Caenorhabditis elegans: one gene and its partner. The protein of the gene in region 1 purifies or fractionates together with the protein of each later gene. This does not show direct contact. Each region holds a gene or a part of one and is shown on either strand. Other genes may lie near its edges.

Region 1 (3,753 bases):
TTACAAAACCGAATGGCATCGGTACAATCTGAAAAGACAAGCTGCTGAGCTTCCAGCTATAGGAATTGAGCTTTTCAATGAGAAAGCTGCATCGTTCAACCCAACAAAGGTAGGGGAAAAGTTTTCTAATGTTCGCTTAATACTTACTCATTATCAATTTTTCAGCCAGTCGTTGCTGCTTCAGTTGAACCATTGTACTGCAAGGCTTGTCGGAAATCAATCAAATCGGAGAATGCAATGACTGATCACGTAGCTAGCAAAAAGCACAAGGAAAATGAGAAGAAGATTGAGGATGATGTGAAGAAAGGTCCAAAGCAACCAAGAAAGAAGCCAGAGAATTTGCCAAAGAAACCTGAGTCACTAAAGGAACCTGAAAATGATGAAGATGATGACTCGAGTGGATGGGAAACTGACGATGAGGAGGAAGGTGTGGAGGAACTAAATGAGGATGATGCTCTTCCAGTCACATCTTGTCTGTTTTGTCCACAGACAAAGCCTAATATGGATGAAATGCGTACTCATATGAACTTCCATCATGGATTCCAACTTCCAGACAGGCAATACTTGAGCGATGAACTTGGATGCTTAAGCTACTTGGGACTTAAAGTTGGAGCTGGTCGTTGCTGTATCTTCTGCCCAGACGTTAAAGCCAGATACGAATCAGTTCAGAGTTGTCAGCAGCACATGCGAGATAAGCAGCACTGCAAACTCCGCAGAGATCCTGAAAGCATGATTGAGCTCGACGACTACTATGATTACAGTCCGATGTATGATGGAGATGATCAAGATAAGTCAGAACTGTTTGATGATGGATGGTCGCTTACTCTCCCTTCTGGAGCTAAAATTGGACACCGTAACCTTCATCGATATTTCAAACAATACCTTCGCCCAGTTGATGGTACACAGAGACTTGTTTCAAGAGCAGCACTCGATAAAGCAAAGGGATTCTATCCAGCTCTCGCTTGGACTGGAACTACGAGTAAGTTTTATTAGAATTCTATGACATCAAATAGTAGAAATAAAAAGAAATGTAACAAAAATAATATTTCAGCTGTCGCGGCCAAGAAGGTTGCTCGAGACATGAAGTTCGTTGAGCGTTTCCGTCGTCGTTTCGATCTGCGTGTGGCAGTCAAGTCGAACAAGTTGTTCAAGACAAACGGATTCGTCGGAGACAATCATTGACCACTTCATTCCAATTTTTCTGTTCCTGTTTGCTAACCTTGTTGTTTTTGCCGTTACCCCCGTTATGTTGACATTTTTCAATGAATATCCATCTGAAATAATTCGCTTCGATATACCAAAGAGGGATTTGGTAATGATCTGGTTTTCAAATTCAACACAATTCTAATTAGATCAAGTGTTTTGACCAAAATTTTCTTCAAAGGGAGGACCAAGTTATTACGAGCGCAGGTCTCACAACGAACACATTTACTACGGTAATCTTCAACTTTATTCATCATACAACGAAATCTTCCCTATTTAGAATTTAGCTTTTTCTTGGCGTATTCTGAACATTTTTTGCTAAATACGTCGCTTTTGTTAAGCAATTAAAAAATAGAACTATACATTTTCGCTCTCGCCTTCTAAATATTTATTTTTCGAAAACATTTCTTCTTCTTTTGATTGGCTACGGTATGCGAGTCCGCAATAGTCCGTCGCGGTGATTGCACACTTTTATCTTCCGAGAATTTTTTTACAATTTTATTTTCCATTTTCTCATTAATTTTTCCCCGAAAAAAAAAAAGAAAATGCCATGTTTTTGTTTTCAAAAAATTGTCGATATTTTATTTACTCGTAATATCTCTTCCGGGGTGATGAATATTTTGTTTCAGATGGTTAAACTAGATGAGGTAACAAACGAAAAGTGCTTCCCGCGTGGTGGTGGTTCGGACAAGCCAAAACCATTGAACAAATCCAACTCGGACTTTGTAGGAACGAAAGGAGGGCTAAAGGTTTGTTATTATCTCTCTTTTCATTCTAAGTATTCAAGTTTTAGAGAAAGTCCGCAGCCCCAGAACAACACGAGGCCAAGAAAGCTAAAGAAGAATCTAGCTGGATTCCGAAGGTTGAGGAGAACTGCTTCATTGAAGGACTCACAGGTTTTGGGGTAGTTTCTGAGGTTTTCGATGATGGAGTTCTTCTGCATACCGCTGGTACACATACCGTCAAGATTCATGCTTCAGAAGTCTCGAAGAAGTTTACGGAACTTTTCAACGAGGAAAAAATTGAGATTAAGAATGCATTTCAACTCGGCCAGATGGTTCCATTTCGTGTGATTAGTAAGAAGCAAGGTAACGACAAAGGGAAGGTGAAAGGAACTTGCAACCCAGCTCGGCTCAACAAACATCTCTCTCCAAATATGTTGGCTGCCGGTCTCGTTCTTCATACCGCCGTCGTCAGTATTGAGGAGAAGGGTGCTATTCTGGATGTTGGACTTGATCAAATAACAGGATTCATCGAGAAATCGCAATTTCCAGCAGCAGGATTGAAAGAAGGAATGCCACTTATTGTTCGAGTTCTATCTTCCACGTCAAGAGTAGTAAAAGTAACTTCCTTTGTGGAGCAGGACAATTTGAATATGACGTCTTGTGAGAAGCTCCAACTGAACCATTTGATGCCTGGAACAATTCTCGAATGTGAGCCAACAGGAGACGCAGTTACTGCTGGAGTCATTGTAAACATTGGAAATGGCCTGAAAGGAATTCTCCCTCGCCGAAATTTGCCTCCGCGCCTTCGTGAGAATCCGGAGAAGCTCGGGAAAGCCATTAGAGCAATTGTGATGTTCTGTCAACAAAATTCAAAAATCCTTGTACTCAATGCACACCCAGATATTGTTGCTGCCAGTCGTATCGAAAAAAGAACATCGTTTGAAGGAATTTCAATTGGAGACAAAGTCAAGTGCACTGTAATTGATGTACTCCCAACCAAAAGTATGGTGTACTTTGCTCTCCCTGCTATCGATGGAAAAAAGTCATTGGTCACTGCGGTGTCATCTCGAGGACTTTTGGAAAAACCAGATCAAGTTTCTACTGAGTATGAAGTTGGAACGGAAAAGCTGTGTCGAGTCACAGGATTTCGATATGCAGACCGATCGATCACCATTTCAACGAGAAAAGATATTTTGAATCAAAAAATTACAAAATATCAGGTAATTAAAAGTAAAATTAAATATTCCATTTTTATATTTTCAGGATGCAAAGTGTGGAGATGTACTTGATGCTCGTGTTCATCACGTGGCAAAAAGTGGAGTTTACTTCATGGTGTGTAATTTTGTAAAAGCATTTGCTCCTTTGAGCATGCTTTCGGATAAGCCACTTCCTGCGCAAAAAATGAAGAACATCTATAAAGTTGGAACTGAAGTAAAATGTCGTGTATGGCAGATTTGCGACGAGAGAAAAAATTTAATCGTCACATGTCGAGAGTCTATTCTTGGATTGAAAAGTCCGTCCGTCAACAGTGTTCAAGAGTTGGAGATTGGAGTTACTGTTCCATGCGTTATCAGAAAGGTTTTCCCAACGGGAGTTCTTCTTCTCGGAACATTCAATAACATTTGTGGAGTTCTTAGAAAGGAATCCGCCGTTCATTTGCCAGGAACACCGAAGAACAACGATTTTGTAGTTGCTAATGTGGAGAAGATCGAGGACAACCGAGTTGTATTTGTGCTTCGTGACGTTAACCCGAGTGCTGCTGTTGCAAATGGACAAAATTCCGAGAAGAAACTGGTTCAGAGACCGAACCCAGCTGATGGAGGTA
Region 2 (3,753 bases), on another chromosome or scaffold:
TAATTCCTCACGAAATAGATTAATTTTTTAAAGGCGCATGCATTTTCCCACTGCCGATATCCCGTTGCGCACGAGTGTTTGCCTCTCGTGTACTTCTCTCGGACAATTGGCGGGACTTTCGAAATTCATTTTTTGAGGTTTTTCTATTGGATTTTTAGTGTTTTCCGGCAGTTTGTTGAATAATTTAGCTCAAAAATGTTCTAAATTGTGAGATTTATTCGTTTTTAAAGTATAAATTGTGTGACAAGGACCATTGCATCGCTGGGAAGAGCAATAGTTAACTATTTCGCTGGAATTCTAGTAATCGGACGATTCTGTGGACTTATTGAGAGGTTTTTGATATTTTCTTATTGAAGCGTGTTCCTATGCTGAATATTTAGCTGATTTTGCTGCAAAAACAAGTTTTTCGGCCATATGCAAACTGATTCTCGAAAAAAAATCCCAGTTCTCTTAATTTTTCCCATTAATTCTCCTCATTTACGCTTCCAACTCCTACATTTTTGCCTTAAAAGCTTTCCATCTTATTAGCTAGCCAAATGAAGCGAGAATAAACAATTTCTAGCTCTTCTCTCATCTCCAACCATCTGCGTCTCCGCTCTCTTCCCATTTTCGAAAATGTCTTGCTTTGGAGCAGATGGACCGTTGTCAAGGCATTTTTTATCGCTTTTTTTCGTTTTCCCGTGTTTTCAATCGATTTCTCGTTCTCATTTATTCAAAAACAATATTTTCAGCTTAAAATGGAACCGACAGCCGCCGAGAACAACAACAATGTGTGGCTATTCTACCCGAATCTCATCGGTTATGGACGCATAGTACTCGCCATTTTGGCCATGTACTACATGTCGTCAGCGCCATGGTGTGCAATGTTCTGGTGAGTTTTGGCGAGCTGGAAATCGATTTTTGCATCAAAAATTAGCTAATATCCATGTTTACTACTACTTTTCATCTCTTTTTCACTGAAATGTCGAGTATTTTTGCGATGCATGGTAAAGAAATCAAGGTGACCAGGTTTCTTTTCAATTTTCCCCCATAATTGAAGAGTTACAATGCCATCTGACAAGGTTTTTCAGAAGAAAAGTCCTGAAAATTAGATTTTCGTAATTAAAATTTCTCATAATTTCAGCTATGCACTCAGCGCCGGACTCGACGCGTTTGACGGATGGGCGGCACGGACCTACAATCAATCGAGCCGATTTGGAGCAATGCTCGATCAGCTCACCGATCGGTACGTTAAAATTTCTCAAATATGCTGGAAAATTCGAGAAAAAAATTGGATTCGGTAAAATTCTCATATTTTCAGCTGCGCCCTGCTGGCCTTGGTGATGGCGCTCTGCAAGTTCTACCCGGATCACTTGTTCCTGCTTCAACTGTCGGCCGTAATCGACATCGCATCTCACTGGCTTCACCTTCACGCCACTGATCTCTCCGGTGCCACGAGCCACAAGCAGTCTTCGAATTGGCTTCTGAACCTCTACTACACGGATCGATTGTTCCTCGGATTCATGTGCGGCGGAAATGAGGCTTTCTACATTTTGCTCTACATTCGCGCGTTCTGGGCTGGTAAATATTTGATTTATTTTTGCTATAATTTATTAATTCCTCTAATTTTCAGGACCACTGATCTTCAACTTCCACTTCATGTCGATCTTCCCACTCATCGCCTTCCCGATTGCCTTCGTCAAGTCCGCCATCTCCGTCGTCCATCTGTACACTGCCGCCGAGATGGTCGTTGCTCACGATGTGAAGCTCCGTGTTGAGGCTGCTCAGAAGGCCCAATGATCTCCGGATCTCCCCGAAGTCTCCAAGATTCTCCTCTGATTCCCCATGAGCTTTTGTATACACATTCCCCACTACTTAATTCACGAGCTTTACGCTTAGCTTTAGTCCTTTAGTGCTCTCGTCTCAGGAAAATGTTTCCGATTTCCATTTAATTCCAAATTTGAACATATTTCTCTGTAATTTTTTTCCCCGTAATTTTTTTTTTCGCAAATTCCCGATGTACTTACTCTGTAAAATAATATTTATTTTGTTTATTTTATTTTCCATTTATTATTCAATTCGAATTGGTTTTCAGCCAGCCGATTTTATCTATTTTCTCTCAATTTTTATTTCTTGTTTTGATTTTTTTAACCTTAATCCCACGATTTTTGCAGGATATTCGACTATCCCGAGTTGACTACAAACTACAATGGCCGACGAGCTAGCCCGAATCCAGCAGTATGAGTACCGGCAGAACTCCAACTTGGTTCTGTCGGTCGACTACAATCTGACGGATCGGCGTGGCAGAGAGGAGCCGACTGGCGAGGTGCTGCCGATCACGGATAAGGAGATGCGCAAAATGAAGATGGGTGACCGGGCGATCAAGGGAAAAGCGCCGGTGCAGGATCAGAAGAAGAAGAGAAAGAAGAAGGACGACGAGAAAGCACAACAGTTCGGCCGGAATGTCCTTGTCGACAATAATGAGCTCATGGGAGCCTACAAGCCCAGAACCCAGGAGACGAAGCAGACTTATGAAGTGATTTTGTCTTTCATTTTGGACGCACTTGGCGATGTTCCACGCGAGGTTCTGTGCGGAGCCGCTGACGAGGTGCTTCTCACGCTGAAAAACGACAAATTCCGAGATAAAGGTGAGGTGAAAATCGAAGATTTTCAATAAAATTTATATTTTTTTTTCAGAGAAGAAGAAAGAAGTGGAAGCTCTTCTGGGACCGCTCACCGACGATCGTATCGCAGTTCTCATCAACTTATCGAAGAAGATCAGCGATTTTTCGATCGAAGAGGAGAATAAGCCTGAAGGCGATGGAGACATCTACGAGAATGAGGGTGTAAATGTGCAGTTCGACTCGGATGAGGAAGAAGATGACGGTGGGATGGTTAATGAGATCAAAGGTGATAGTGAGGAGGAGAGTGAAGAGGAAGAAGGTGTGGATACAGATTACACGGCAACACTCAAAGGAGATGGTCATTTGACGGAAGATGAGCAAAAAGCACGAGGAATTCTTCATCCACGTGACATCGACGCTCATTGGATCCAAAGATCGCTCGCCAAGTACTTCAAAGATCCTCTGATCGCCCAACAGAAGCAAACGGAAGTCATCGGAATTCTCAAGAACGCCGCCGACGATCGTGACGCCGAGAATCAGCTTGTCCTGCTGTTAGGCTTCGATCAGTTCGAGTTCATCAAGTGCCTTCGCCAGAATCGTCTTATGATCCTCTACTGTACACTTTTGCGTCAGGCGAACGAGAAGGAGCGTCTCCAAATCGAAGATGATATGCGATCTCGTCCAGAGCTTCATCCGATTCTTGCACTTCTTCAGGAGACTGATGAGGGATCTGTTGTGCAGGTGGAAAAGTCGAAACGAGACGCGGAGAAGTCGAAGAAGGCCGCCACAGCAGCAAATGAAGCCATCAGTGCGGGACAGTGGCAGGCGGGCCGCAAGATGTTGGATCTAAACGATCTCACGTTCAGTCAAGGATCTCATTTGATGAGCAATAAAAGGTAAATACAATTTTATTTTAAAAGTACGATTTTCCATTAGAAAATTAAGGAAATTTGATTCATTATGCACTTTAAAAGTCCACATTCCCAAAAAACCCTAAAATTCTCAATTTTGCAGATGCGAGCTCCCCGACGGATCCTACCGCCGCCAGAAAAAGTCCTACGAAGAAATCCACGTACCAGCCCTCAAACCACGACCATTTGCTGAAGGAGAGAAGCTCGTCAGTGTCTCAGAGCTCCCGAAATGGGCCCAA

What was found.
Region 2: the proteins of let-716 (region 1) and snrp-200 fractionate together in Caenorhabditis elegans (co-fractionation; one large-scale study listed by BioGRID). This does not show direct contact.

What each region holds. Positions count from the first base shown.
Region 1 is NC_003281.10:6,381,720-6,385,472, forward strand, and holds the start of let-716 (rRNA biogenesis protein RRP5), read left to right. Parts: upstream 1-1,832; coding exon 1,833-1,952; intron 1,953-1,996; coding exon 1,997-3,148; intron 3,149-3,191; coding exon 3,192-3,753. Other genes in the region: znf-622 (C2H2-type domain-containing protein), read left to right, coding at 1-109, 166-979, 1,052-1,182.
Region 2 is NC_003280.10:12,735,311-12,739,063, reverse strand, and holds the start of snrp-200 (U5 small nuclear ribonucleoprotein 200 kDa helicase), read left to right. Parts: upstream 1-2,153; 5' UTR 2,154-2,188; coding exon 2,189-2,627; intron 2,628-2,676; coding exon 2,677-3,499; intron 3,500-3,617; coding exon 3,618-3,753. Other genes in the region: pisy-1 (CDP-diacylglycerol--inositol 3-phosphatidyltransferase), read left to right, coding at 738-871, 1,124-1,225, 1,301-1,560, 1,613-1,779. UniProt on the Caenorhabditis elegans protein: Catalyzes the ATP-dependent unwinding of U4/U6 RNA duplices, an essential step in the assembly of a catalytically active spliceosome. Plays a role in pre-mRNA splicing.